4 linked regions of the Arabidopsis thaliana genome follow. The protein of the gene in region 4 interacts with the protein of the main gene of each other region in a pairwise test. Each region holds a gene or a part of one and is shown on either strand. Other genes may lie near its edges. The genes, in order: BZIP60, NAC097, BIM2 and TINY2.

Region 1 (7,804 bases), on a different chromosome or scaffold from region 4:
GGCAAGTCTATGACTAATTTCTTTATACAATTCTTACCTCTTAGCTCATACTTTCAAATCTAATTGTTTTTTGTTTCTGTTTCGTGTCAGGCAAGTAACTGTGAGAAAATGCTTAGCAAAATTAAGATTCCTCTACCAGATATGCTCGTAAGTTTTTGCCCATCATTTTTAAGTGAAAACAATACCTAAAGTTTCTGCAACATTTGGTATTGTTAGTATTTAAATAATATTTGTGTAACAATAACATTTTGCATCACTTTTTATCCTTTTTGTAATCTTAGAATGCAGTTCTAGATTTGGATTCTTCAGCTGTGATCATTGACCAGATTAAAAATCTAATCAAAATCTGTTGGAGCAAGGAAGAAATGGATCGGTTAAGGGTAATCTTTACAACAATATTTTCGTAATTACGAATATCTCAACTGGTCGTCTGAACTCTAAAGCTAACTCATGTTGTGTTTACAGAATTCTGCTGGTGGTGACAAGGAAGTGCTTGGAAAGTGTGAAGAGGTTTTGCTTCACTTCTTAAAGCCATAAATGTTATTTATTCATCATATGTGCTTTGATCCCTAACTATGCAAATGTTACAGATTTTCGGGGAACTAATGATGGTTCCGCGGATAGAACCAAAATTACGAGTGTTTGCTTTTAAGGTTGAGTATCCTTCCAGGGTGAGTGACTTAAAAATGTGGATGCATACGATAATCGCTGCTACTAAAGAGGTATGCATAGAGACAGACCCGGTTCAGTTAATTATTGGGCTCAGTTTTCAATAGTTTAAAAAAAAAAATGATGTATATAAACAGAATTCAAATTTTTTGAGCCTTTTCTAATTTGTTTTTAATACAAACGGGTCTAAATTCTGAAGAAAAATGTCAAAATTATATTAGACCCTCTTTAACTGGAGCAGTTGAACAGCCCAATAACTGGACCTGAGGGTGACATTTTTCTGTGCATGGTAATATATATAGCTATGTCCATCTTGGTAATTAAGTAATCGTATTTCATGTACTAGATAACGGGATCTGTGAAGTTGTTTCGGATTATGCAAACAAGTTTAACAATGCAAGTTCTAAGAGGTATCATGTATTGTTGTATTGATTTCCAATTTTTCATAACTTTTAATATTTTGTAGCATCTATTTGTTGATGTAGTAAGTGGGCCTTGTGTTGTGTGTTGCAGGTTCTAATGTGGAGTGTGGACTGGATAGTCTTGTTAAGTTATGTGATAATGTGTATTTGATGCATGACTTTTGCAAGGTAACAAATACTCTTGTGTAACATATGGTTAATGCGGTAATTTGCGTAAGTTGCTTAACGTCTTAACTATCTTCTTACGGGTTTAGCTTGTTGGTGAAAAAATGCCGAAGCTGCTGGATTTTGGTAATGACCTTGTTCACTTAGAAGCTGCATCGAGGGTATGCTTTTTGTTGTGATATAACTCATGGTTGCTTCTTTTGCTCTAGTTCCCAACTCTCCTTTACTTGTGCTGAAAATTACAGATTGAATTGGAAACCATTACTAATAAGATGCAAGAGTTATTCGACATCGAGGAAGAGGTGAATGATGAGTTCCTAGCTTCAGAAAATGATGGTGCTAATTTTGTGGGCTACCGAAACGTAAGCCACATGAATAAAGAGTTAAGAAAAGGTCTTTGTAGCATCTTCTAATCCGATCTTCATGTTTTTAGGTGGTGCATGATTTTCTTTGTACGATTGACGGCGACAAGCAGTTGCTAAATATCTTATACGCAGAAGTGGTAACCTATATAACTCTCGGTTAGACCTTGAAGGACATGTATATCATGCTCAAAACCTATATTTACTTTGTAACTCACAGGGAGGACTTGTAAATTCCTACATAGCTGAGTATCCAAGTGGTGTTCGCTTCAAGGAAGGTACCATCACATCTACTGTCTATTGTACTCATGTCTACATTTCGCGGTTCTCATTTCTACTCTGGCTATTCTCCCTATCTGCAGCGACCAACATCCTGACCCGTTTCGTGGAAACGTTCTACAAGTCTCGCGAGGAGATTGAAAGACAAGCCGAGGCTGAGAAGGAGATACTGGAGAAAAGAAAAATGAACATCAAACAAAATGGGAACCTCTAAAGAACCGTAGCTAGTTTCATCGACAACTTCTATGCTGCTTAGATGGAACTGCAAACTATCTATCATCTCTTCTCTAGTGCTTATGTACTAGAAAATATTTGAACTTTTTTACAATTCGAAGTTTTACCTTATCTTCATTGTTCTAATAAAACTATCTGTTCGTTTTTTTTTACCTGCCTACGCATCCGTACCAAACATTTTACAAACAAAAATCTCTGTGACAATCCCAAAGATTGGCTCGTCTGAACCCTAAATAATATCTGATGACAAAAAAAAAAAAAAAAAAAACTGTGATAATGTCAAATGAAGCAAACATGTAAAAACTAGCATGAGGAAAAGCTTTATCAATGTTAATCAACCTAATGAATTGTTATCTAGTAATTAGAAGTGATATTACCTGAAGTTATGCCTCAAAATCAACATTTTAAAGGCAGAAGCATTATTAGATAGATATCATCCATAACCATAAGACCCACATTCACTGTTAACTTATCGATATTAGACAGAAAACTTTCAACAGCGAAATACAAAACAAGAGAGAGAAAACTAAAAGACACTCATCTACAACTCAAAATGCGCAAAAGAAGCAGTTAAAAAAGGCGTTGTCACGCCGCAAGGGTTAAGATTTGGTATTTCATCCTAGGCCTCGAACCCTTACATCTCCGACTAACGCCGGTATAAGACGGTTTGCTACTACTCCCGAGCCCGTTTAGAACCAGCTTTTCTGGTTCTGGACGTAGGAGGCAACACTTTGTGTGGGACATATAAGGGAATAGGCAAATGAAGTTTACTCCCAGAAGCCAAAGCAGGGAACCCAACAGCAGGGATTCCAACAAGAGCACAGCAGACTCCTGCTTCGACATCATGGTAGTATTATTGCCATTACCCTTTTGCAAACAGTAACGTAGAGACTGGTTTTCAGCAACGAAGCACTCAAGCATACGTCCTAGTCTCAAGCATTCTCTTTCGAGATACTTACTCTTCTTCTCTAAATCTTGTACATATTCCTTCTTCCTCTCTCTCGATCTAACCGCCGCATCTCTATTTCTTACTCTCCTGAACCACAATCACATCCCAATTATCAAACCTCAGTTTCTTTTCATAGCATAAAAGGCTTTAACAATCTTAAGTTAACCAAAATACACATACCTATGTTTGAACATAATCAGCTCATGAATATTAACACAAGATTAACAATAATTAAAGGCAACCAAAATTTAAACAGTCATTTACTTAAATGATTAGTTCTCAATGTTGTTATCAAAACAATAACACACTTATAGCAATCTAAATGAAACAAAAATCAACATCACTCATAATCAATCAACTCTTCAACGTCACACATACATAAACATAATAACATGAACATATCACAAGATACGCAAGCAAAATTTAAACACTCGTTTCTCAAATCTTCACTGTTACACATACGTATCTCCTAGTTCTCAATGTTGTTCTCAAAGCATAACACACTTTTAACAATCTTAATGAAACCAAAATCAACACAAACATACAAAATCCATCCATAAACCCTAACTTTTCAAACAAGAGTAAAATTAGATATACCTTCTTCGTTTTTTAGCCACAGCATCATCGTCTCCTTCTTCGTCATCATCATCATGAATCTCGCTACCAGAATCATTAGACTTCTTCTCAACAACCAAATCCGAATTCTCCTTCCCGGAATCATCAGCGGCGGCGGGAGAATCGACGGTTAGAACTTTATCAGCCGCCAAATCAACGGAGCCAGAATCGCTAGTTGGATAATCAACGAGTAGATCCGCTATGAAATCTGAAACCGATTGCTGATCCAATTCCACAAAACTCTCCTCTTGATGATTCTCATCGTTCATCAATTGATTCTCGATTTCTCCGATCCATGAATCCGGTGAAGACTGAAGAAAATCCTCCGCCGGAAGAGAATCAATTACGATTGAAGGATCGAAATCGAAGAAGAAATCTTCATCTCCGAGTAAATCTATGCTTCCAAATTCCTCCGCCATGGTCAAAAAAAAAAAAATATACAAAGAAGAAAAAAAAAAGCGAATTTAATTTAAGAAATTGGAAGAGAGATGAGTTATATAGGAACTGTGTTTGAGACTTTTCTAAATTTCTTTGCGACCAAGTAAATGTGTAGAAAAAGAGTCAGCATGACACGTGTTGATTATGGACGCGTTTTTTGAATTTTTAGCCAATGATGTGATGGAGTGTACTGTGTTATAGTGTTTCTGTTAGCAGAGGATTATTGTTTTTATGTGCCGTCACACAACCAATGAGAAGGCTTCAAGCTGGAAGAATAGGATCACAGCCGAACACGTGTACTCAGTGAAGTGTTCGTGTGATTAATAACTCGGTTCTAATTCACTTCTTTTCTCTTGGTTTGATTTTCTTATTTTCGGTACAGTTATGTAAACCAGTTAGCTATAGTCAAAACGATGTACATGTAGTTGAGATGGACAATGAGACCAAGGAGAGCAAGGCTTCTTTGACCATTTCTCAGAAATCAATCAAAATTCTTCAGTCCCTTTTTCTCTTTGTCACCGTCAACATCTTCCACGATTGAATCTTTGTTCTCCGAGAGGACTTTTCTTCCTTCGTGACCATCTTCTAGACTTTGAAAGTTATCAATTTGTTAATTAAAATCATATATTATATTGTCAATTTATGTTACATTCTGGATTATCTTCCTTATTCAATTTTAAATGAGTGATTAATCTTCATTCAATCTCACATGAATGAATTTGTAAAATTTTCAGTTCTCTAGCAGATGAGTGAACTAATTATATATGTGAAAGTTGATCTACTATTTTCATATGAATGTCACGTTATTATTTAATTATTTTCTATGTGTTCATTCAATAATTAATGTAAGATTTACATTTATTATTAATTATTTATCTTTAATTGTATCAATTCTAAATTTATTTTTGTTATTATATGTATTTTAAAGAATAAATATATTTTACTATTTTCTTCATACTCATTTAAGGTTTATTTGCTAATGTTTTGTAGTCATAACTTAAAATAGGAATAGATATTACTATAGTGAATTAGCTAATGGTTTGGTAGCTTATTATCATTAATCTCTATCTAAATAATATAATACAGAGGATGAGGAGTATACAGAGATCCATCCTCAAATTCCTGATGTTTATATATTTCCAACATTAACATCTATTAAATTGTTTTACGATGAAAATTATTTCAAGATTGTGTGAATAATTACACTTTTTCAAAAAGTACTTAAAAAGTAGTTTAACATTAAAAGCAGTTGATGATTATATATTTTTCAATAAAATGTTAAATTATATTTTAAAAAAAGTAGATAAAGTGCAATTTCAATTAGAAACGAATAGAAGACAAGTTTTAAACACCAATAGAAATATTAAAAAGCTAGATGATGTTAGTTTTAACTTCTGGACAAAAACCAAATTTGGAGGTCGTATCTCTTGTCCCCAAGAAGTCTGATTGATGAGATTTGATTTTGGACTTGCTTATCAACCGAACTTGTCAATAATAGCATTAGTAATTATAATTTTAGTAACACATTATTTACATTAATTATAATTTTAGGACAATTGTATTAACCTGACTTGTGATCTAATGACGTGGTTCATAAAGTCACTTATCGAAAGTTAATAGTGTATATTTTCTATGATATAGTTCTTTTATAATGCTAATTAAATACCTATGAAGAAATATAAGGATTGCAAATTTTGTAATTAAACTAATAGAGAGGACTCTAACAAAGCTATTTAACTACGTAAAGCATATATTTCCTTTTGTATATTACTTTTTTGTTTGTATGTAAGCGGGAATACTTACCACATGTACTACAATTCCTTGTTCACCAAACTTCAAATAACTTCCCCAACGTCCTAAGTAACATCTTTAAAATTTGAAGAACATGATAGCGAGGGAAACTAAATTCAACGTGAATTTATTTTACTTGGTTTTACTCTACTTTTGTTACTACCAAGGTGAATTTGATTTAAACCTAGTTCAAAGTCACTTTTTTCTAGCCTAGCTCAAATTATATAAATTGTGCAATGTTGTAATTGTCCTAGTCTAATTATCATCACGTTTTTTAAATTTTAGTATTGATTTCACATGTCTTAATTTTAAATTTTATTTGATGATATATTATTTGACATAGTATAAATTTCTTTTTAACACGCGTTAAAAGCAATAATTTTCTTAAAAATATTTAACCAAATTTAGCTTGTATTATACAAAAATAAAATGAGTAATATCACTACCTAACTATACTTTAGGTTTTTATTATCAAAATTTATATATGACATTTTATTATCAAAATCTATATATGACATTTTGTACATATAGTGGTTCATTTCTCACACAAGTTCTTTTAAATTTATTTTAAATTTAGTATAGATTTCACGTAACGGTTTTAAGAAGATATTCCTATTTTGTTTGACTATATTATTTGATATAATATCACTTTCTTTTTGACACGCGTCAAAAATAATAATTTCCATTAAAATCATTTGACCACTTTTAACTCTTGTTGGATTATCTACCAAATATAATTGATGTTATATAGCTATTTTATATCAAAGTCATTTTTTGGAAAAACAGGGGCTTTTAGTTAAATAAAAAAACTAGAGGACCTATAAGTAAAAATATTATAATATATAATAACATAAAAAGATAAGTAATTAACATGAGTACTATGAAAAAAAATCACACAAGCAATAAGAATTAGTAAATCATTTGTCAATCATGGTATTAATAACACATTATTTACATAAATTTTATTTTTCTTATATCTAACACGCGTCAGAAAAGATAACTGTTGTCAATATATTTATTTTACTAATTTTAACAAATAATTTATTATCTACCAAATAAAATGACAACAAAATAAAAATCTAGATCTAAATACAGCAAACCAAATAAAACCAAAGCAAAATTGATGAGAAAAAATGCTCTTTTTCACAAAACTAGGGGGTTTTGAGATTATAAAATAAATAAAGAGTCTAAATGTAAAGTTATTATAACAATATGGAAGAAAATATAAATAAAAATAAGTAACAAAAAGTAAAAAAGGCCGACCTTTTCAGTGTCTTATAAATTTCTCCATCGTCTTCTTCTTCTTCTTCTTCTTCGTCTTCTCTCTGTAAACCCCCACACAAACCTGTGGCCGCTATATTCTCCATTTTCTCAGTAACCATCTCTGTTTTTTTCTCTGTTTCTCAGATTAAGTTTCGTGTGTCAAACAGATCAAAACCCAAACAATGGTTATTCCTCTGTTTTTTTCAGAATTTTTCAATCGATGTTATTTTATAGAAATTGATTCATGGGTCTGTGTTATTTTCAGGTGAGTTCCATTGTAAAAATGGAGAACGACGACGTAATGACTCCGCCATGGCTAACACCAATGCTTCGAGCTGATTACTTCGTGACTTGTTCGATTCATTCACAATCGAGTAAAAGTGAATGTAATCTGTTTTGTTTGGATTGTTCAGGCAATGCCTTTTGTTCTTCTTGTCTCGCTCATCACAGAACCCATCGTGTTATCCAGGTTTGGTTTTCAATTTTTCATTACCCATCTATCTCTCAGGAATTTTGTCGAACACGTTTGTTTAATGAACCTAATTCTATGTTTTTTTTTTGTTGTTGTTACAGATTCGACGATCGTCGTATCATAATGTGGTGAGAGTGAGTGAGAT
Region 2 (7,171 bases), about 17 Mb from region 4:
AGAAATCTTGAATTCAAAACAAAATATACTAATGATGAAGGAGCATCTCCATTGCATATAAAAGGAGAGGGTCTTTAGCTATATTAAAAAAATTATAATTATAAGATATGAATAATTAAATATAAAAGGGTCTTTAAATTTGAGACATCTCTCTCCAAAATGTCTCTATAAAGACATTTGAGACATTGTGTCTTAAATATAAAGATACCCAAACATTAAAATATTATACTTTCTTTTACATATCCTACTATATTATTTGGAAAGTACATTTTAAATATAACATTAATTTTTTAAGTAATTACATAGGTATATCATTAGAAATAAAATTTTAAAGAGTAAATTAATTTATCTCTTTAAGGATTAAAAAGTCAAATACTAATTTAATTAATTAAATTTAATTAAAAAACGAAATACATTATTAATTTTCAAAAATAATAACCAATCAAGATCAACATATAAGATTTGATATTTAAATTTTAATTAATTTAATTAAATTTAAAAAAATACATTATTAATTTCCAAAAAAGTAACCTATTAAAATCAACAAATTAGATTTTATATCTAAATTATCATATTAATTTTTTATTAATTATTATAGTTCACTTCTCATCTTTATATGATTCTATTTTTGCGAAAAAATAATATCATCATTATAAAAAAAAAATTAGAGTTTTTTCGCATATGCCATAATTTAAATTTTTAAAAACAAATATAAACTGTTCAATACATGAAAAAATATTATAAAGGGTGAAAAATAGATTTAAGAAAACTTTCTACTGAGTAACGGGTCATAATTTGAAATATTTATATTCAATTTCATACATATTATATTGAAAATTTATAATCTTATATACTATAATAATTAATAACATATTAGATTTTTTTATGTGTATGATGTGATTCAATTTTTAATACAAGCTGGAAAATCCTAGAATTGACGGGTTTAGATCGATATTAATACAAGATGGTATACTACATGTGAAACTCTTAAATTAACAATTAAACTACAAGTGTCTAATTATAAACACTAAACAATATACATAATATCAACAAAACATATACAACTCACAGTTTACTATACATTTAAAATCAAATAAAATAATATCATATATTTTTAAATCATCTTTACAATAAAAGTTTTTAGTTTAACTAAAATATAAGCCTACCTGCGGTATACTGCAGGTTAATATCTAGATTATAAGGTTTATTGGATCTAAAGACGGGTCATCAAAGATTTCCTAAACTGAAGCAAAATATACTGAATACTCAAATATCTATCTGTTACCAAATTATAAACAAATAAGTTCGTAAAACAATTTAATATTTTATATATATAATCAATTAAATCTTAATCACATAAAAATTAGCACAAAAAAAAGTATTCAACAATTAAAAAATTATCAAATCTCTGTGTTATATAAGTTTTGATACTATATTCGAATAAAGTGTAATATACCTTTTCAATTTGTATTCTTTAACTAATTTAAGCTAACTAATATATTTGCTAATCTTTTACCTATCAAAACCGACTATCGTTTCTTATCTCTATAGTATTTTTGCAAGACTTTTTTGGTGGATTTGGGTAAAAGTGCATTCGGGTCATATGGTACATTCCCCTATTAAATAAATATGGTGTACTCCTATTTATTAGCTAAAATGTTTAGATTATAATTCAGAGTCATATCATTAATAAAATTAATATTAATAAAATAAATGGCTTTTTGGCAAGACAGATTTGGAGTGACGGGTTTTTGAATCAACATTAATAAAAAAGTAAAATATAATTAATCCACCGTTTCAATACTGGTTAAATATTTAATTTATTATTTTTTAAGACCACTAATATTAAACATATCAAATCATCCTAATTTAGAAAAGATTATATAAAACCGAAAATATTATGTAGTATGTATAATGTTACTATATATAAAATTAAACTATAAAATATAAATGTATTAGAGAATGATATAATTTGCAAAACTTTTATATATAAAAATAATTCTTAAATTTTAAAAATTACTTTTTTAAAAAAAAATCACGGGACGGGTAAAGAAATTATACAACAGGTTTTATTTTGGAATTGGATTATATGGTGGATGTATTTGAATCAATATTTATAAAATTTTAAAATATTATTAATATGCTGTTTTAATAGGGGTTACAACTTCAGTTTTTTAAAAATTGTCTCATGGATTCGTGGTATAGCGTTACTTAATAATAATTATAAACTGTAAAATATAAATATTTTATAAAAATAAAATTTGCAAATTTTAATATATATTACTTTTAAAAAATAAATCGTCCCGCGGTATATCGCGGATTAAAATCTAGTTGTATTTATATTGTGGGAAGACCTCCTCATGTGATGTTGGATGGATTGGTCTAACGGACCACTAATAATATATATATATATATAATTGGACAAGAACAAAATAAAACGGGAGAGTGAAAGCAACTTGTGGCATCTTTCACCACATCCTCAATTACATTCCATTCCATTCCAAAGGGCTTGGAAGACAATAAGACAAATCATGCATATATATTTCATTTAGATGTTCCCTAATATCCTAACAATAGTAACTAAATTCAAACGATTCACCACAAAACCAAGTACATATATTTATGGCATCAACCTCGGTCGTCACCGGCTTTGAATAACTTCCTCGCCATCAGACTCGTCAGACTCGTGCTCATCCTCCACCATCTCTTCATCATTCTCTTCCTTCACTACGACTTTCACCGCCCTCCATTTTCCTACCTCACCCTTTAAAACCCAAAACATTGATATAGTTAGCTCTAAACTATTACTTACAACAAAAATATATGTTATAGAAAAAGATAAAAGTCCAATGAGTGACTCACCCGAGGTAGAGGGGACGATGACCACCTTGTAGCTCTAGAGGAAAGAAGTCGGAACTCGTACATGATCCATGGAGTTATTGTCCCTCGAGGTTTTTTTCCAATAAAGAAAGCAAATGTCTTTCTCCTTCCTTCTAAATGAATACAATCACGACCACCAGCCTCCATTACTTCCTCTTCTTCACACTCTTCCCAATAACCGGATAACGTCTCTCTTCCCTTCCTCTCTCGCTCTTCCTTCTTCACGAAGTAATACACTTCCTTGTTCTTCTCTCCTACAACAAAAGTGTACGTACAACATTCACTAAACCACATTTTTCAATACATTTGACGTGATATGGTATAGTAATTATTAGAGAGAAGAGTTTGTAGCAAACCTAGCAAGTCCCATGGATCAACATTGCAAGAACGGAGCTCAGGGAGATCGAAGTCCATTGGACGGTGGAGGACCTTCTTGGCGAGATACTCGAACACAAGATCTTCATCATCGGGATCGAACCGAAACCCGGGAGGGAGTCTCATGCTTCTTCCGTTCATGGCAAATCTCTGCGCAGAAATGTCCATTGCTTTCTTATGAGTATCCTTTGTGTTTGGTTTAGGTTGTTTATATATACTTATGAGTGTGTCACCTTTAGTTTGGCAAAAGCGGATTCTGCTTTTCCTTTAGATACTTTTTACGTACTACTATTAATTTCAAGAGATAAATAGATAAAAAAAAATTGATAACTGCAAATTCAGAGATCGTAGATTGGTTTCATTTTTGTTTATTTAAATGCGAGGATCATCATAACAAATTGTGGTGCATGTACCCATGCAGTCAACGTTGTTAAGGTTTTGAATATAGCGAGTATTCAAAAATATCTTTATTTTTTTGGTAAAGATAATCTAGTTCCTTTTTCGTTTTCCTGGGCAAAGGTAATTATTTATTTTTTCAACCAAAACGAAATAAACAAGATTTAAGTTCCAAAAGCCTAGATCCACGCTGATTCATTACCATATAAGTACATTCAACATCAATAACTAAAACGAGCACATTTCTAACAATTGGCCCAGAACTAATTTTAACATGCATTTGAAATTTTATTTTTCATAAGCCGATCGGTTAGCCCAGGTAAAAATACACGTAAGTGTTTAGAGTGGATTTAAACCCGAAAAATTACCACAGTGTTTATTCCAAATCTGAAATGTTTTCACACCGAAAAAGAAAACAAACCTTTATGTTAGGGACCTTACACATGTTTAGGGACTAGTGTATATATCATCCATGTAAAAATATCCATGCGACCCTTTTTTTTTCTTATAGTAATGTCGGAATGATATACGAATTATAGATATGAATGTACATAAATAAGCGAAAGTTTTGGACGTACGTTCAACCTATAATTTTGTAGTAAAATCATTTCTTGGTATAAATTTATACGTGGAAAAGGAAAACTTATATCATCGAGGAATCAAAATTTTCTTTGTCTTTATCATTTGGCAAGTGAAATAATAATGTCGGGATACAATACATTTTTAAAACAATAAATTTAAGTAAATATGCATAAGCAATGATTAAGAAATAAGAAAAATATAAGAAAGTATATTCAGAAAACAAAAGTGAATTTGAAAGAGAGTCCAAGTCGATCCCAACTTAAAGATTTGAGAAGCTGACTTAACGAGTAAGTTATTAGATGTTGGTCTGACTCAATTTTCTACTCTCATGCACTTCTTTAATTTCAATTATTTTAGATAAATTATTGTATATATGTGTGTCTTTGGACTGGTGACTTGCCTTTTATCCTTCCTTTTTTTCCTTGGATCAATAAAGCTCCCAAAGCCCCCACCAAACCAAAGTTGTTCCAATTTTTTGCTTCAACTTTCCAGCATCAGCCTTTGATTTTTACAAATAGCATTTTAGGTTTAGTCCTCTTTGTATAATGTTATGTTTTATACACTAGAAATAAAGGTTACATAATTTGTCTTTCGAAAGACTAAGAAAAGAAAATGAAATGGATTAAAGATGATTGTTTCATTGTTAAGGAATCGAGATTAGTTTAATTGGTTGGAACTTGGAAGAGAGTATTCATCAGCTTTCTTTTGCTGAATCTTAATTCGAATGCAACATGACTAGCTTATATTTGATAAATATTTTAAATTGTTAACATCTAGCTTTAATTCTAGTCCAAAATTTCTCTATATAATTTTCATGTGTTGAAAGTAGGCAAAGCTCTATTTGTTTTATATTCATAAAGGATATAGAAAAAGCTTTAAATTTGTCAATTTAGAATCATATGTCTTACTCCTCCCACGCAGCATTTTGGATTTGGTACTTTTCTTCACCTCGAAGATGTTGGCTTTCCATTTCCTTTATTTGTTTGTTTTCAATCTTCTTTTTACTTTAGATTTTGATGATTTAGCGACATTTCTTAAGCAACGACATACATAAATGAAAAGTTTCATTTCTTTATAACTTAGTGTTGTCAATTGATGGTTGATATTGATATGGTACAAGCACCATCTTCATGTTCAATTATTCTTTTTAACCATACATACACTTGAACGTAATTTTTTGATTGGTTCTCCAATGCAAAAAGAAAATAGTTTTAAAATAATGTCTTTGAATCTAGTTCTAATTGAATGGGTTTACCAAAGCATACTAAGTTAGTCAAGTAAGTTACTTTTCTTTCCTTTTTTTTTTTTTTTTTGAATACCAGGAGGTTTTGGGACGAAGCCCGTAATTCCCTTAGGTCCGAAATTTGTTCCAAGCGTCACTCGAACCGACGACCTCTAAACTTTAAAGTTAATCACAATGGAGATTGTAACATTTTGATTATCTTGGAGCAAATGAATTCTTAGAAGAATATTTGATATACACCACCAAAAAAATACATGAACTAGTCAACAAATAGCTGGGTGAACCGCCAGTTCCCGGTTCCATCAGAGTTTTAAAAAGTCCGGTTTTATGACTAGTTTAGACCCAAATGTGCCTGCTGGTTCCCTATTAAACCGGTCGGGTCCGGGTTTAAAATCACTGAGTCTACCCACCCTATATATCCGTACACTCGGCCCAGATCATGATCCATATTTAAATCAAACTTTTACATATTTGATCTCAATATGATTATTTAACTGTTGGGCTTTTAATGGGGGTTTTGGCCCAATAAGTAAGTAAGCGGCGTCTCTTGAACTTTATTGTAGCCTTTTGGGGTTTTTGAGAAAAGTTTTTAGGGTTTTCAGTCGCTGAGAACAATTTTCTTCTCCTTCTTCTTCTTCAAGCAGAGACGCTCTCAGCTCACCAGACATGGATCCTAGCATGGCAAACAACCCGGAATTGCTTCAATTCCTCGCCGTAAGTCTCCGATTTGTTTTTGATGAATGCTAATTAGTTCTTTCAATTTTAAAGCTTTTTAAGTCGATTCACATGGAAACTTGAGCATTTGGACAGCGAAATTATAAGTAGAAGCAGTGTTTTAAGTCCTGTCTGGATTCACAGAAACCATTTATTTGAATCTTCGTTGACGGGTCAAATTAACATTTCGATGCTTTAAACTTGAAAGATCTGATTTTTTTTTTCATGTGTGATTTAGTTGGTATGATTAGAATCAAGTTGAATTGAGATTTAGTGTACTAATATGTGTTTACAAGAATTGGGTTTATTAGGGTTTATGCAAAGTAATGATTTTTTTTTGTCTTGGGTTTATGTTTGGTGAATTGTAAGAGAATGTGGGTGTGTGTTTGTGTGGCAGCAAGAGAAAGAAAGAGCAATGGTGAACGAAATGGTGTCGAAGATGACAAGTGTGTGCTGGGACAAATGCATCACAAGCGCACCGGGAAGTAAGTTCAGCTCAAGCGAGAGTTCTTGCCTCACTCATTGTGCTCAACGCTACATGGATATGAGTATGATCATCATGAAACGCTTTAATTCGCAGTAAAATTGATTGGAGGATATCATACTTGTTGGAATTTTAATTTATCCTTTTTTTGTTTCTCTTGGCAAGTGTTGAAATCCCTTTTATTACTCTAGTGATCTTGCAAGAGTATTCTCGGATAAGTGTTTTAGGTGTTTCTTTATGGTTATGTGATTGAGATTGTTATTGATGGCTAGTAATATATTAAGAGACAAGTGTTGAATAATGTGGTTTTAATAAGGAGGGTTGTACAAGGGTTGGGTTGAAACAATGAAACTTGCTAAGTCACATAGAGATTGTGGTGAAATGGCACTTTACTTTGAAAAGTCACAAACCAAAAAACCTCGAGACACTGAGAGATCGTGAGAAAAAAAGAGTAAAGGCCTTCTTAAGGCTAGGAATTGTTTGGATTTATCACTGTT
Region 3 (8,905 bases), on a different chromosome or scaffold from region 4:
TTTGGAATTGAGGATTTGAAATGTGTTATGGTAAATGTGGATTAGATGAATCGTCGGAAGTTTCTGATTTGGAAACAAGTGCGTCGAATGTTCGGAAGGATCTTTCTGAGTGGCAGGAGAGACATGCCACTCTTGTTCTTGGTTCTGTCAAGGTAGATTTTTCGAATTTGAGATTGGAATTAGTTTGATTAGTTGGAGAAGCTGATCTTGCATAATTGGTTTAGTTATAGATTCATCTCTTCTGTGCTACATTGTTTGATTTTGCATTTTGTGTATGTTGCAGCAAATTTCGAAGTTGAGATATGAACTATGCCCACGAGTTATGAAAGAAAGGAGGTTCTGGAGGATATACTTTACCTTAGTGAGCACTCATGTTGCACCGTAAGGATCTACCATCTCTTCTCAAAGTCTGAAAATGTTATCGACACTAGACTGAGAATTGCATTAAGCGCATAGGAGGTGGTAAAGATAGCTTAAGATCTCTATATTTGTATGACTAGGTAGTCTCATAGCTTAATCACTGCAGCTTAAGTTTGGTAAAATGAAACCATACGTAATTATATGGGAAATGGATTATACCTTATCAGCACGGATTTGATCCAGAGACAGTCTTAGTGAATTCTCTTGTGGCTGCAAATCATCTATTCTGCCTCTAGCTTGGTCCAGTATATCTCGGAAAACCATGTAACTCACAAATGAGAATATAAAAAACAAAGGAACATGACTGAAAACATATAGAAGATCTTGACACCTTAGTTGTTTGTGTATTTCTGAGAAGTGATTAGTGAATTGAGCACCCTTGTCTTTCATTCTTATGAGACTTGATAGCTGCATGAATTAAGCGGAAAGGATTTGTTTTGAATCAGATATGAAAGGAAGTACATGGAGGAACTTAGGAACAAAGCAGAGAGTAAAGATGAAGAAGCTAAGAAGAGTCCAGGGCTTGGAAGGACAGAATCAGCTGAAAAGAACAGAATATCTACTGCATCGTCTGAGCAAGATCTCGATACATTCCTGCTGGGAGATCTAGAAGACAGTGACGAAGCTCCTGGTGAGACACCTTGACTTGATGTAGCTTCCCAAGTTTTAGCTATGACTTAAATCCTGATTTTGTCTGTATAATCGTAAAACTTGCAGATGATGGTGATGGTGATGATGGAGGAAGCCTGGGTGATGATGACTTTGACAAGATTGGCAACTCTGTAAGTGAAAACGTTTGATTATTCTCTCAGTTCTTTAAAACATACAACAACAGAACATCTTGGTTTAATCCAAATCTGCCTTCACGTGTTTGCAGGATGTTGAGGAAGAGAAAGAATCAAATGCAGCAAAAAATTAGAAATATTATTAAGTTTTGTTACATACCCAATTGTTGGGAAGTAAATGAGGATGGTATATGATCTGTTTCATCATCAGTGATTCAGTGTATAGCTTTTGATGCAAAAGATGAAGACACATTTTATTCATTCGAATTCGCAAATTATAAAAAAACAGACTTTGATTACAAAATTATCCTAAAAAGCGAAACTTTGACATAAATATTAGTCGCTGGAGAGGTTAAAGTTTGCTAATGGCAGTAACATATCTTCTCCGGCGTTACAAGCCGGCGACAATATCATCAGTTTTGTCTTTCTCGACGAAATGTTTTGTTGGACGAACATCATCACTCTCTGTTCCAACGGAAGCTCCTCCGGTTCCAAAGAAGATCCCATTCGCAATCTCATCTCATGGGATCACAAGACAAGATCCTTTCCATTGGATGAAGAATACGGACGACACCGATTTCGTCGACTTCCTCAAGCGTGAGAACTCATACTCTCAAGCTTTCATGGCTGACACAGAAACCCTGAGGCGTGATTTATTCTCCGAGATGAAAACTCGTATTCCAGAAGAGATTTTCACTCCTCCTGAGCGTTGGGGACAATGGTTCATCTCTCTAATCTTGTAACTTTCTCTGATACGAGTATAAAGGAGTGAGCTTTTTGATTGATTTGGTTTAAGTTGTCTATTGAGCAGGTTATATAGACAATACATACCCAAAGGAAAAGAGTATCCTCTTCTATGTAGGAGATTGGAGAAGGGTAAAACAAATTGGCTCTCTGGTCTTTTTCGTGGAGAAGAAGAAGAAGTTGTGCTTGACTGGAATCAAATTGCAGAGCAGTTTGGTAAAAGTTCATTCCTTTAGTATAATGTTTCATTGTTAGTTTTAGAGTCATCGTCAGTCTCTAAGCAAGTGTTATGTGTACTACTTCAGGTTATGTTCATGTTGGAGTTTGTCGGGTTTCACCTGATCATAACTATCTGGCGTACACGGTTGATCCCGAAGGAGGTGAGCGTTTCATTCTCCAGATTAAGGATTTAAGAACTGATCGGTTAGTTCCGAGGTTGGAAGTTGATGGAGTTGTTAGCTTGGCATGGGCTTTAGATGGAATCACCTTGTTTTACACTGTTACAGATGAAAACCAAAGACCTCACAGGCAAATACAGTGACTCATACTAGTAGATAGATAGCTTTTTAATTTTATTAAACTTGGAGAGTGTTTGTTCAACTGCGACTAGTTTTTGCAGGGTTGTTGTCACAAATGTTGAATCAGATGGGAGAGATGATGCCGTAGTGTTTACCGAAAGAGATTCCAGTTTCTGTGTAGACATAACGACCACAAAAGATGGCAAGTTTGTTACTATCAATTCAAACTCAAGGACTTCATCCGAGGAATTTACCTCTTTCAACTGCATTTTTGTTTTTGTTTTCTTAGTGTCTATCATCGATATACTTTAGGCTCAAGCTGAGTTATCTTGTTTTCAGGTTTATATTGTAAATGCTGATAAGCCAATGGCTGGTTTGCAAAGAACTCGCGAACGAGTTCCTGGCGTGCAGTGTTTTCTTGAACATCACAATGGGTTCTTTTACATTCTTACAAATTCTCCCTCAAATGCAATTAGTGAGTGGTCTGGTGAAGGCTACTATTTGACTAGATGCTTAGTAGAGGAAATTGAAGCATCTGACTGGCAGACTGTTTTCCGTCCAGATGATGATGTGGTTATACAAGATATGGACATGTTCAATGACTACTTAGTGCTTTATCTTAATAAGAAAGGCTTACCTATGCTCTGTTCCATTGATATGCCCATAAAAGCAAATACGAAGGTATTTCTGATTAGTATTGCAGTTGTATGTTTTTTCTCTGTCGCTTTGCGTTCATACATTTTCACTAAAGTATGTTTCATTTGTGCAGCATATGGATGATCTTGTTCCCTGGTATTTTCCACTTCCAGTTGATTCATGCAGTGTTGCCCCTGGTTCAAACCACGACTTCCAGAGCTCTATATACCGAGTGGTGCTTTCGTCTCCTGTGGTAAATAAAGAAACGGGTTTCTCTATTTGTTTTAGCTTTGAACCATAACATAGTTTATTTGCATTTGAATTTTTCTTTCTACTCTGATACTTTCTCTGAATATCTTACTGTTATTGTTGGAATTGCAGATTCCTGACACTATCGTTGACTATGACGTGTCAAGAAGATTGTTCTCAATTGTGCAGCAGGAGGGAGGGGTTGTAGATAATTCTGATAGTAGTAAGCCATGGTACACAGCAGATCGCTCTACAGAGAATAACGGTCAACTTAATGATAGAACCAGCGAGGGAGAAGATGGTCAGTTAGATTCTCGAATGCCTAAATGGGAGGACTTATCTGATACATATGTTTGTGAAAGACAAGAAGTTTCTTCACATGACGGAGTTGAAGTCCCTCTTACAATTCTGTATTCACGAGAAGCATGGAAGAAGAGTGAGTCACCGGGAATGTTGATAGGTTATGGCGCTTATGGAGAAGTTTTGGACAAAAGCTGGTGCACAAATCGATTGAGTATGCTTGATCGTGGTTGGGTGATTGCTTTTGCTGATGTGAGGTCAGTCACTAAACATAACCAAAGCATTCAATTATCATTTGCTTCAAGTTGACATCACTTGGTATAATAGTGGTTGATTTGAATGTGCTTCTATAAGAGTTTTATTTTGGCCTCAGGGGAGGAGGCAGTGGGGAGTTTTCATGGCACAAATCCGGAACTAGATCGTTGAAACAAAATTCAATCCAAGATTTCATATACAGTGCTAAATATCTAGTCGAAAAAGGCTATGTGCATAGACATCATCTTGCTGCTGTTGGGTACAGTGCAGGAGCTATTCTTCCAGCTGCAGCTATGAATATGCACCCGAGTCTATTTCAAGCTGTGATTTTGAAGGTAAGAATATTATGGCATAGCAAATGCATTAAGTTGTGTCCAGAATAATCAAAAGCTCAAATCATTAAGGTGTGTACCATTTGGGCAGGTTCCTTTTGTAGATGTATTAAACACATTATCGGATCCAAATTTACCTCTCACACTCCTGGACCATGAAGAATTCGGGAACCCAGACAACCAAACTGACTTCGGATCGATCCTTAGCTATTCTCCATATGATAAGATACGAAAAGATGTTTGCTATCCGTCCATGCTTGTCACTACTTCGTTTCATGACTCAAGGCAAGCTAGCTTCACAAAAGAACCCTTAAACCCATATCTCTTTTTTGTTTTAAGTAAGAATCTTTGGATCATAGTTTGCGTGTGTTATTGGGTCAGGGTTGGAGTATGGGAAGGTGCAAAATGGGTGGCTAAGATAAGGGATAGTACGTGCCACGACTGCTCCCGAGCTGTGATTCTGAAAACAAATATGAACGGAGGGCATTTTGGTGAAGGTGGTCGCTATGCTCAATGCGAAGAGACTGCCTTTGATTATGCTTTTCTTCTCAAAGTTATGGGTCATCACAACAATAGATAAAAGCATCACATCATCTTTGGTTTAGCATCAAATGATTTTATAATAGTCTTTCACTTTAAGGTTAAGAGATTGCTAGCCTTTGATCTCGCTCTCTCAACAAAAAAGGAAGATCAAATCGGAAAAAAATGATGCAATAACTTGAAACCACAAGAGATCATATTTGATAGGTTACATGAATGATGCAGAAGATGATACAAACTCAGAACCACAAAAAAACGCAGAATCTACTAACCAAAGTTTATCTTAACGAGTACTATAGGAACCCCTAGAAGCCGAACAATGTACACGATACAAGGAATCTGTCAATACATTTATATATTCCAGCGCCGTGGAGCCTGAGAGAGAAATGTCACAGTGTTTTCATCCGCTTGTGAGAATGTTCAGATTCTTCCTCAACGCTTGAATCCCTTCCTTGCGTATCATATGATAATGGATTCTGTATAGAAAAATGTATCAACATCATGATATATGGCTATTGTTACAAAACTAAGTATGAAGCATTTCGAACCAACTATTTACCTTACTTGATGGCTCTTCATGAGTTAGACCTTGATTGGCTCGCTTCCCAAGATCGATCTGCACAGAAAGCTTTGCTTGCGACAGATCAATGCCTGCATTCTGGAGTGCTTGTGTTAATGAGCTCAATAACCTGGCCATTTCAGAATTAATGTCTCACAAGATTAGTACACAATGCAGTTAAAAAAAAAGGGTAGAAGCGAACACATCAATGGCAGCACAGTAACAGAAACGAGGAAGACTTAGAAGATCAGACTCACTCATGCGAGTAGGCACTAGAGATGCTAATGGTTCCACCTTCAATAACCAGGTCATTACTTTGGCCTAGCCCATCACTAGTTGCAGGACATTCATTAGCTTGTTCGCCTTGTACCATTGGAAGAATTGGTTGTAGTGGTGGTAATCCTTTGTCGTCTAACTCAGGTTGACTTTCAATCGATATGCCGGTTATAGCTCTTGCTTTGTCAGATTCAATCGGGATTTGCGGTTCTGCAATAATTGCAGGTGTCGAAGTCACAGTGTTGTCTTCAAACTTTCCAGGAAAAGGTATCCCTGGACCAGATCCATTATTTATAGCTACTGGGTGGTTCCCCAAACTTTGAACTCGCCAATGATTATTCCTCTGTTCCAATCAAGAAAACATAACCTTCAGCTAAAAGTCACACAAAGAAAGCCTTGCGGGTGCAAAAACATACTCAGAATCTACAATCACAGAAACTCATTGAGAAACCGACATAAGAAGAAGCTCAAAACTTTACCCATGGCGTCAACTTTGTTGGTTCCTGACTCCAACCTGGATACGATCCTTCATACTTTTGCACCTTCTCTTGTAAATACTGAACATAATCTATCACCTAGAATGGAATAGCGGTATTAAGCTAACAACATCTAAAAGACAGGATATTCGCACAAAGCATCATCAAATACCATGACATACCTCTAAAAGGAATGAAGCAGTGTCACGTTTTTGTTCACTGTTGGGAATTAGTTCTCTCAATATCTGAAATCTGAGAAGAGATTTATGAATTCAGCACTCAGAACAAGAACAATAATTATAATGTAACTAAGTCCTATATCAAACACCACAAAACTGAAGCAGAGCAAAATTCCCAAACACAAGTCCTAAGTATTCTTATGATTTTGTTAGCAAAGTAATTGAATTTTGATTCAGATATCAAAACAAAGAATGTCGCGTTTACTCCTAATCTCAAGTTCTCACAAAAACAACAATCCAAAAAGTTTGAAATCCTCACTTTATATCAACATACCTTTCATTGATTTTGCTTCTTCTACGTTGCTCAGTGACCGAATGTTTAGAACGTATCGCACTAGCTTTATCATTTTCCTTTGAATCTGCTTTCAAAATCAAACACCGAATCACACAGAGACAAAACTTAGAAAAATCTAATCCCAAACTATTCAAATCCATCTCGATACATATCAACAATAGCTCCAACCAAAACACAAATTGACGAAACAACAACTAAGAAAAATTCAAAAGTCTCCCAAATCGAACAATTTACCTCTGTTGCTATGAACAGTAGTGTTGGAAGAAGGACCTTCACGTTTAGAGTTAAAGTCTTCTTCTCCGTAATCTTCTTCCTCTTGATTTCCTTTTCCGGTTCTCATCTTCGCCGGAGAATTTCGACTGTTTATTGTTTTATTTTCAACTTTTGCCGTCGACGAGCTCTTTTTTGTTGCTTATTTGTTTTTTGTTTTTTGGGTGCCTCGTGACTCGGCTGAGTTCTAGTTAGCTGTGGGAGAGACTACGTGAGTTTACTTGAGCTTTTGTCCGTCAGTTTCGTGATTTGGAGACGTGTACGACTTGATGTGATTACCCGGTTAGGCCTCTAAATGAACCGTAGCTTGTGATGACACGTGGGATTCACGTGATAAGACGAGATTCTAACCTATCAGATTTAAGGTGGTCACGTGATGCACGTGGTCTCTTTCTGATCTGTTAATTTTCACGTACTATGTTTGTTTCTAATCGAACGGTGACATATGGCTATGTTTCCAAAACAATACTATAAAGGGCCGAATGGAATTATCAGACTTGGGCCAAACCCAAACTTTACAAAGGAAAAAAAGAAGTAACATATGCCTATGTTTCCAAAACAATACTATACCTTATTCGAATTTATCAGACATGGGCTAAGCCCAAAAGTTACAAAAAAAAAAAAAAGAGTAACAATACTATCAGAGCCAGGTTTCGATCCTGGGACCTGTGGGTTATGGGCCCACCACGCTTCCGCTGCGCCACTCTGATTTGTTGTTGTAATGTTAATTAGGTATATATTTATCATGGTAATGTATAACTCGTGCCAGAATATGGGCTTTGAGCCCAAATAAGAGCGTAACGGATCTGATAAGCGGGTCGGGTTTGACAAGATCCATGAAATGTGAAGCAGAAACCAAAGGTTTTATGAAGGGTTTATTTCGGCGGCTGTGTTTGTACTTCACGGCGCCTTCTCTTTTCTCCAGATCTCTCTTCTCTTCACCCAAGTCTTGTTTTTAATCTGTTCTTCGAATCTGAACTCTTTGATTTCTATGTTTGTATTAATAACTCTACAAAATCAAGTAGCTACATAGCCCGAGATTGTGCTCGTGGAGGCAGTAAACTATCTGAAGCAGCCACTATTACCATTTCGTGGCGATCACAAAAACGATTCAAAAAATGTGGAGGAACATTCTGGGAAGAGCTTCATTGAGAAAGGTTAAGTTTTTATCTGATTCTAGCTCCTCCGGTACTCATTATCCAGTGAATAGAGTCCGTGGGATTCTGTCTTCTGTTAATCTCAGTGGCGTTAGAAATGGTTTATCTATAAATCCAGTCAACGAAATGGGTGGATTAAGCTCGTTTCGTCATGGTCAATGTTATGTGTTTGAAGGGTATGCTACAGCTGCGCAAGCTATTGATTCGACTGATCCTGAAGATGAGTCTTCTGGGTCTGATGAAGTTAATGAATTGATAACGGAAATGGAGAAAGAAACTGAGAGAATCCGTAAAAAAGCTAGGCTTGCAGCTATACCGCCAAAGAGAGTCATTGCGGGAATGGGAGCACAGAAGTTCTATATGCTGAAGCAGAGACAGGTGAAAATGGAGACTGAAGAATGGGAAAGAGCAGCGAGAGAGTGTAGAGAGATTCTAGCTGATATGTGTGAGCAGAAGCTTGCACCGAATTTACCTTATATGAAGTCTTTGTTTCTAGGCTGGTTTGAGCCTGTGCGTAATGCTATTCAAGATGATCTTGATACTTTTAAAATCAAGAAAGGGAAGATTCCGTATGCGCCTTTTATGGAGCAGTTACCGGCTGATAAGATGGCTGTTATCACTATGCATAAGATGATGGGATTGTTGATGACTAATGCGGAAGGCGTTGGCATTGTTAAGCTAGTGAATGCTGCTACTCAGATCGGGGAAGCTGTTGAGCAGGAGGTGGGTTTTAATTTCTCTTGTTGCTTTTGATGCTATTTCATGATGTGTGAATCTAGGAATGTGTCATTGATACATATTGCCTTGTCCCCATGGGGTATGAAGTGTATATTGGTTTGATGGTTTGTGTATTT
Region 4 (7,404 bases):
ACCGTTAAATCAGTTTTCTAGCCTAATATTTATTAGTTTATTCTAATGATTTATATATGTAAATTCAACTCTAATTAATGGTCACCGTCAATTAAATTAGTCCACTAAACGTGATTAACCTGCCGACTTACTTGATCCGTAGATATTTAGACCAAAGCATATTAGTGGAGAATTTCAAGTGGTTCAGATACCCTTTAATTTTTCAGCATTTGTAAAGTCATTTTTGACGATTTTGGTCGAAATCTAAAAATAAAGTACTAAAGGAGTCAATAATTCCTTTTCCGTTTTTGGAGTTTAGCATAGTCCCATCATTAGACACAGATAAATTTGATTTAAGAATTTCAATACCTCACAAAAGATATGCAAGAAAGTTATGTCGGATCCACTCTAGATTTGCGTGGTATACTGTCGTTAATAAAACCTAATGAATTAATTTAATTATTCGTTAATAGTTAGTGGGGAATATATAGGTAGGGGCTACGTTTCGTGGATATAAAATCCAATGAAACCGTCAAGTTATTATGAACCAAAATCAACTCAATCTGACATTGATCGAATCATATTAAACTAGGTGAAGGGATGGTCTACACTAACTTAGTACTAATTTTCTTTAGCAGTCTAGTTTTAAGTTAGGTTAAGGGATGGTCCTGAACTAATCTGATATTTAGTGAGGTGTTTAAATAGAAAACATATATCGGTTTGCTTGTACGAGTCAGGTTACCTCTTTTGAATATATTCCCTGATTACGAAGAATTATCTCACTCGGGGTCGGAACTCTGATTGCTGAGTCAAATTTTTATATAGTTGTATATTTTGTTCATGCTTTTACTATTGATCATAGATTTGCTAAAAGAACGTGGAATTAAGCGCTGCTAAAATCCATTAATCCGTTAATAATATCCACCAGAAAAAAAAAAAAAGATACTATATAAAAGGCAATGTAAACATGAAACAGCTAGAGAGAAAAAAAAACACGTAACAACTAATTAACTGTTATACAATGTCATTTTTTCACTCTATACATTGACTAAAAAAATGGAATATTATATATAAAAATCATGATATATAATTAACAGATAAGAATATGAATCATTGTTCCATGTCCCACCCTCTCGTAAGAAAGTCTTAAGGTGTAAATCCAAAATCTTTAATATGTTTTAAACGGTGTCAGTGACATCATTACTGTATTTGTTTGGTAAATGGTAACAACAGTCTCTATCTTTATCTTTAACCAGAAAAAGACACTAGTCTTTATCCTGGACGAAGCTTGTCGTTGTATATCTTATTATAAACAAGATATCATGTTGTAATCTACAAAAACTTTTGGAGTTTGCAAACTATTAGACACATTTTACATTTTATTAAAGAGATCAGCATAATTGATATGTAACCTCAAGTAGCATAACAATGACTAAGACAGTTTAATTTCATGGATATTCCACTTTAGACCAAGTAGTTTATGGATCATCACATCTCTTTTTCATGATTATAATTATCCTAAAAACGAGATGTTGGAAGTTAAAAAGATATGCCTGTGACAGGACTAAATATGTCATATTATGATCATTCGTCATTCTTGTCATATAGATTCAAATAAATATTAAGCTAGCCTACATTTATTTTAGGGGTAATTACTTTTTCGTGTCAACTAGTTCCTTTTAGTTTTTTAAGCTACATTTACATTTCGTCTTTCGAAAATAACATTCTCATTTTGCTTTAACAGAATTACCCTTGAATTAATTTGTCTTTTTAAACATTGGACGTTAAAAAATAAAAATGTCGATGGATGCTGTTCACATTTGTAGAGTAATAATTAACGGACATTCTCAGTTCGAAAACTTTTAACAAACTTTCAACACTTTTCAAAATTTCTTGTTTATTATTGTAGTATATATTTCCAATAATATCACTATAAACTTTAGTTCTTTAGAAACTTTTTCAGTAAGTTTTATTTCTTTCACACGTTTTTAGAAACTTTAAACTTTCATAAGTTTCTCATGTAAAACATTGCAAGTCGTTTTCATCATTCAGTGATAGTTTTCAATTTTTTTTGTGTGAATAAAAAAATAAATCTAAATCTTAGATGACAAAATCTAAACTCTAGCTCCAAATGATCATCTTATATCTTGAGAACAAAAAAAATCATAAACCCTAATACCAAAATCTTAAATCCTATTTAGCTTCTTAATTTAAGCACAAGCAAATAGTGACGCCACAACGGTGGTGGTACGACAAAAGTTCGGCTATAAAGAAAATTGGATGTGGAGACATAAAATGAAGAGAGGAGGAACTCCCTTTAGGGATCCAAGTTATATGTGGAAATTAAATAGATGCTCATTCATTTTAATATTAATCTATTTCTTGATATATACATTCTTTTTTATTTGATGATCATTATGAAATTTTGATAAATTAGTCTTTAATCTTAACATATCGTAGAATAAGAACACAAACAAAAAAAAGTCATCTGTGGAGCTGGCTAATCAGATCTGAATTTATCATAAGCCTTTCTCTTTTTAATTCTAAAATAGAACGAGTTGTATGATATTTGTGTGGCCTATATTGTCTAACAAATTTTTTAAAGTGGGAAATTATGGTCATTAACATACTAATAGATGATAATAAAGTATTGCATGGATGTACATATGTGGCTGTGTATTGTTTGCGTCAGCTTGGACAAGTTGCTCTTGCTTTGTGTTTTCCCTCATTTTTTACCCTAACTCACATTCTCCGTTCCATTTATGTCGACAAAACAAAAATGAATGGGATAGTGAGACTCTAATTTACAATTAATGGTTAAAGATATTTCCTATAATTTTAAAAAAAAAACTTTTTTTGTCAAAGAAAACAAAAACAAAAACATTGAACAGTTTTTTAAATTTTGATGATTTGCATTATTACAATATCATAAAGTTAGTGGACTTTTATTTATCGCTTATTCATTTGATGATACTTACAAAAAAATCACTTTATTTTCCCTTCTTTTCCGACAAAAAAACCCGATATTTATATATTACAAAAAAAAAACACAAATAGAGTTTTGTACACGTATCATTATGGAGCTCACACCCGCTCCAAAAAAAAAAAAAAAAAAAACCTTTCTTAGCTAACACCAAAAAACTCAAAAAAAAAACAAAAACAGCAAAGGGTTTTAAAAACGTGATTAAACAAAACATTATGGCAATGATACAAAATAAACTGTTTTAAACAAAACATTATGGTAATGATACAAAATAAACTGTTAGAGATCCCATGACAAGCCATGGCCAAAATTAGGGCTAATTCCGTGACCATAGTTATCTTCGGACGACTGTCCCCACGGCGGCGGATATAAACAGTAGTCAACTGAGTCATAGAAGACAAACTCGTTCCCAAGGTTAGCCGAGTCGACGTCGTAACTCGCCCCGAGACTTGGAAGCTCCACAATCTCACCGAGCTCCTCCGACTCAGTCCTCGAGAGGTCCATCACCAACACAAGAGACTCGAGCGAAGACGTAGAAGACAAAGACGACGACGAAGACGTGGAAGATGAAAACGACGTCGTCGGTTCCATGTGAGCTGCTTTAAGAGCTGCTGTCTGAATGTCTCGAGGGCTTAATGAAACGGGTCGAGGGAATGAGTCAGCGAGTTCAGGGAAGTTTAGTATAGCGGCCGTTCCTTTAATGCTCAGAGCCGCCACGTCGTGTGCACGCGCCGCCATCTCCGGCGTCGGGAAAGTTCCCAGCCAAATACGTGATTTCTTCCTCGGCTCACGAATCTCCGACACCCATTTTCCCCAGTTCCTCATCCTTACTCCGCGATAAACAGGGTGTTTACCGGAGTCTCTCCCACGTTTAGTCTTCTTCTCGCTTTGCTCAGCTTTGCTTTTGTCACTCACTGAGTCAGACTCCGAGTTAGGGACAAGAAGCTGAGTTACTCTCTCCGAGCGGAGGCTGTAGTATTCCTCTGCCATTGTGTTAGCTTAGGCACAAGTATCGTACAAGTCTATTATTCTGATTGCTTTTTTCGATTCGGATCCCGAGATTAATGCAAATAAAAAGAAATAGCTAGGCTTCAGGGGGAAAAATATATAAGTTTGAGAACTATTCAAAATGAGGAAAAAAAACAGGGCAGTGAAGTGTGATGAAGAAATGAGAGAGAAACTTTGATATGAGAAGAGAAAAATGTTGGTAAAATTTTGGCTATCATTTCTCAGTCACTCAAAATATTTATATATGCATTAATATATTTGGGTACGGGTTAGAAGAGAGGGAATGGGACCAAAAACAATGCAATAAGTCTAATTGAATAAAGGAAATGGACCCAGTGGCTCCATTTATTTTTGTTTTTCTCACAGACCCACTCTATTTCTATATTGTGAATATATTGTTATTAGTATAAAACGACACACTTGGGGTCACTGTTTGCTTTAATATTTTTCCCGGTTCTTAAAATCTCATTATGCAACTAAATTAGGAAAACAAAATACTTTTCAGTATATTAAAAGATTATGAGACGACCATATTTAGAAGGGCAGTGTTGAAAAGAGATTTTGTCTCGGCCGGGTACGTAAATTATATGAAAGTTGTCTCCGAGATGAACATGATGAGACAAGCCTTTTTTGTTTTGTGTGGTAAGATAATTTTCACCTCAGTTTTACTGTTTAATTATCCTTTACCTTGATCTTCGACTCATTGGATCATACATTCCTATTTACATATTGGTATATATATATGCTCATCATGTGAAGGCAATATGTATCCACATATATGATATGCCATAATTGCAATTTAGTTTTGATCAGAATTAATATACATATTATTTACACGGATATAGAGTTATTGTCTTTCAAATTTTGATTTTCTATAAACATATTATATGAATGTCAACAGTTTTTGAAGATTTATTCAGGAAATTTTTTTAGTAAGTATCATATGTTTACTTTAGTTATATATATCGAGGGCTAATTAAAGGAACTTGTCTTAACCAATAAACCATATGCTTCGAGGCTAAATTTTAAATTTTGGAGAAATTTGTAACTGAGTGTTTTTTTTCGAGACACCAAATGGTGTGTGATTAATTGCACAATTTGTACTGATTTCATTTGAGAGGATATTTTATACTTAGACTTGAAAAGGTGTACTAAAGGGGGTTTAACCGTAAGTAAATTGATAATTAATACCTCTGTCCTGGTCTTAGAAAATATATGGGCGTAAGACCCATAAAAGAAAGAAATCTACCAGCCAATTGATATTAATTAGGTTAAAGTTGCTTCCAAACTAAAAAAAAAAGCCCCCAAAATTAGAGGTACAATATTGCAAATAAAGAAAAGAAGTTTGTAGAGGAAACTTCAAGAAATTTTAAGGGACAATAACTTGTTCAATCATGGGGTCGTATTTGCGTACCTATAAGGAAGGACGAGTGTCTGTCAAATATACACATACACTAAAGTCTTTTAATAATCATGCCAAAAAAATGTCTCTTAATGACGAAAAAATAATGTCTCTTAATAATCATTTTGGATTTTTCACAAGTAATAGCAATGTCTAAGTACTTGCAATGAAGAGAATTGTTTGTATTTTCGCCTCTCGTTTCAGCAATACGTATATGCATTTTATATTGATCATATACGTAATACTAATTAACAATAATATTGATCATCTTAAGTTTACTAAAAAAAAAAAAAAACTGGTCAACAAAGGTTTTAGAGTTTACAAGTTTCTAATTCAAAAATTATTGACATGAATATATTGACTCTTGCTTTATATTTATCCTAGTTAAACAGATTTTATGTGAGATTCTTACAAGTCTATTTAAGACGAGAACGAAAATAGTTTAATTGTTTTGAAAATATTGTTAGAACACGAGAACAGTTTATGAAATCAATCGGATTACAAAACCATTAAATAATTTTGAAACCTCTATTTAAAAGTCAAAACTAACTAGTAATGAATGAAAAAATAGAAAAAAAGAAAAATTATTCACTATATTTCAAAATATAAGATGTTTTAATTAAAAAAGAACTTTTTTTTATTTTTAAAACCTTTATTTTATATTTGATTTAATAAAATTCAACTAATAATATAAAATACTGCATAATATAAATGGTCACAAATAACAAATATATTTAAATTATCTATAAACTTGGAAAACATCTTGTAATATGAAACCAAATAAAATGTCTAAAACATCTTAGATTTTATCAGCTATAAAGGATTTAATTTTTTTTTGGGTAAGGATCTTTAAAGGATTTTAATTATGCTATTTGCCTTCGTATCCGTTATTCCATTTTACAAGATTGTTCAAGCTTCTTTTTACTCATTTCAGACACTGACCATTAATGAAGACCTTCGCAATAAACGAAGCAGACCCACTTGTAAATAGAGGGGAAAAAACATCTTTATGTAATTTACTTTATTTTATTTTTGGTCAATTTTATTTGTGTTTATTTAGGCAGACAAAACCAAATATCTATATCTTCCGACTATGGTTTTATTAGGCAAAATAAAATAAAATAAAATACAGAGACTATAAAGGCGATTTTTTTTCAAAGGGTCCAAAATAAGCCTTTTGGAAATAGAACTTTTCATCTTCTTCTTCTTTCTTTTTTATACAGGAAAGAGACATGTTCTTGGTTTGTGTTCTCGTCATTTGGTAAGATTTTAGAGATATATAGTACGGTCAAAGAACGTTAAATAAAAAGAAAAGGGGTCAAAGAACGTTAACAAACAAACATTATAGGGTCTGAGTTCAATTATTATACAATCTCTGGTATTTTCTTACGATTTTGTGAACTCTTTTTTTTTTTTTTTTTTTTAACGATTTTGTCATAATTTGTATTGGATAGATCTGTGATGGAATTTTATTTAGTTTTACAGAAAATCAAGCCAAGTCTGTTAAACAAATTTTTTCTCAATTTTTGAATATTAAATTTTTCAACTGCAACATTTTTTTACAAAATGTACACTGATATTTTCCCATTTATTTTACCACCTCACATCATTTTTTTTTTTTTTTTTTACGTTTCTGATAAGGCATAATAATATTTTGTAAGTTTCTTACAGTTTATTTCACCCGTTTCTATCACGTAAGTTGTCCTATCGTTAGACCATCCCAACTACAAAAACTAAAGTGATAGTAGATGGAATACTAATTAGACTTGAGGTGGCTTAATTAATTTTACGGAGGTATACATTGTGTTGTTTTCAGACGAAAACACATTTATATTGAAGTTAGAGAATATACATATATATGCTCTCCAGATTCTTCTCTGACGAATAAGCATAGAATTAAATTGAAGTTAATATCATATGGTGTGTAGTTTTATTCCCTATTCAACATATATATGTATCACTATCTTGTGTATGTTCCATTGAGAGACAAAAATTGACAGACAGAGAAAAATAAGACACGTCGAGATGTAGG

The links.
Region 1: the proteins of TINY2 (region 4) and BZIP60 interact in a two-hybrid assay, tested with the Arabidopsis thaliana proteins (one large-scale study listed by BioGRID).
Region 2: the proteins of TINY2 (region 4) and NAC097 interact in a two-hybrid assay, tested with the Arabidopsis thaliana proteins (one large-scale study listed by BioGRID).
Region 3: the proteins of TINY2 (region 4) and BIM2 interact in a two-hybrid assay, tested with the Arabidopsis thaliana proteins (one large-scale study listed by BioGRID).

Annotation. Positions count from the first base shown.
Region 1 is NC_003070.9:16,133,346-16,141,149, forward strand, and holds BZIP60 (basic region/leucine zipper motif 60), read right to left. Parts: upstream 4,119-7,804; 5' UTR 4,115-4,118; coding exon 3,678-4,114; intron 3,168-3,677; coding exon 2,717-3,167; 3' UTR 2,378-2,716; downstream 1-2,377. Other genes in the region: AT1G42980 (Actin-binding FH2 (formin homology 2) family protein), read left to right, coding at 1-1, 91-147, 282-380, 466-510, 591-722, 1,016-1,079, 1,183-1,259, 1,370-1,417 and 4 more; AT1G43000 (PLATZ transcription factor family protein), read left to right, coding at 7,370-7,372, 7,453-7,656, 7,761-7,804. UniProt on the Arabidopsis thaliana protein: Transcription factor involved in the unfolded protein response (UPR). Acts during endoplasmic reticulum stress (ER) by activating unfolded protein response (UPR) target genes via direct binding to the UPR element (UPRE).
Region 2 is NC_003076.8:20,675,477-20,682,647, reverse strand, and holds NAC097 (NAC domain containing protein 97), read right to left. Parts: upstream 3,427-7,171; 5' UTR 3,424-3,426; coding exon 3,237-3,423; intron 3,211-3,236; exon of another isoform or gene 3,175-3,210; coding exon of another isoform or gene 3,135-3,174; coding exon 2,863-3,134; intron 2,765-2,862; coding exon 2,642-2,764; 3' UTR 2,374-2,641; downstream 1-2,373. Other genes in the region: TIM8 (translocase inner membrane subunit 8), read left to right, coding at 6,143-6,190, 6,588-6,773.
Region 3 is NC_003070.9:25,939,863-25,948,767, reverse strand, and holds BIM2 (BES1-interacting Myc-like protein 2), read right to left. Parts: upstream 7,140-8,905; 5' UTR 6,965-7,139; coding exon 6,859-6,964; intron 6,689-6,858; coding exon 6,604-6,688; intron 6,343-6,603; coding exon 6,273-6,342; intron 6,190-6,272; coding exon 6,094-6,189; intron 5,958-6,093; coding exon 5,596-5,957; intron 5,469-5,595; coding exon 5,339-5,468; intron 5,256-5,338; coding exon 5,169-5,255; 3' UTR 4,820-5,168; coding exon of another isoform or gene 4,621-4,819; 3' UTR 4,525-4,620; downstream 1-4,524. Other genes in the region: AT1G69030 (BSD domain-containing protein), read left to right, coding at 46-152, 284-381, 867-1,051, 1,138-1,202, 1,298-1,339; AT1G69020 (Prolyl oligopeptidase family protein), read left to right, coding at 1,571-1,926, 2,017-2,165, 2,255-2,477, 2,569-2,713, 2,807-3,148, 3,237-3,356, 3,485-3,909, 4,026-4,242 and 2 more; MGP3 (male gametophyte defective 3), read left to right, coding at 8,013-8,774. UniProt on the Arabidopsis thaliana protein: Positive brassinosteroid-signaling protein.
Region 4 is NC_003076.8:3,724,548-3,731,951, forward strand, and holds TINY2 (Integrase-type DNA-binding superfamily protein), read right to left. Parts: upstream 4,180-7,404; 5' UTR 3,953-4,179; coding exon 3,242-3,952; 3' UTR 2,906-3,241; downstream 1-2,905.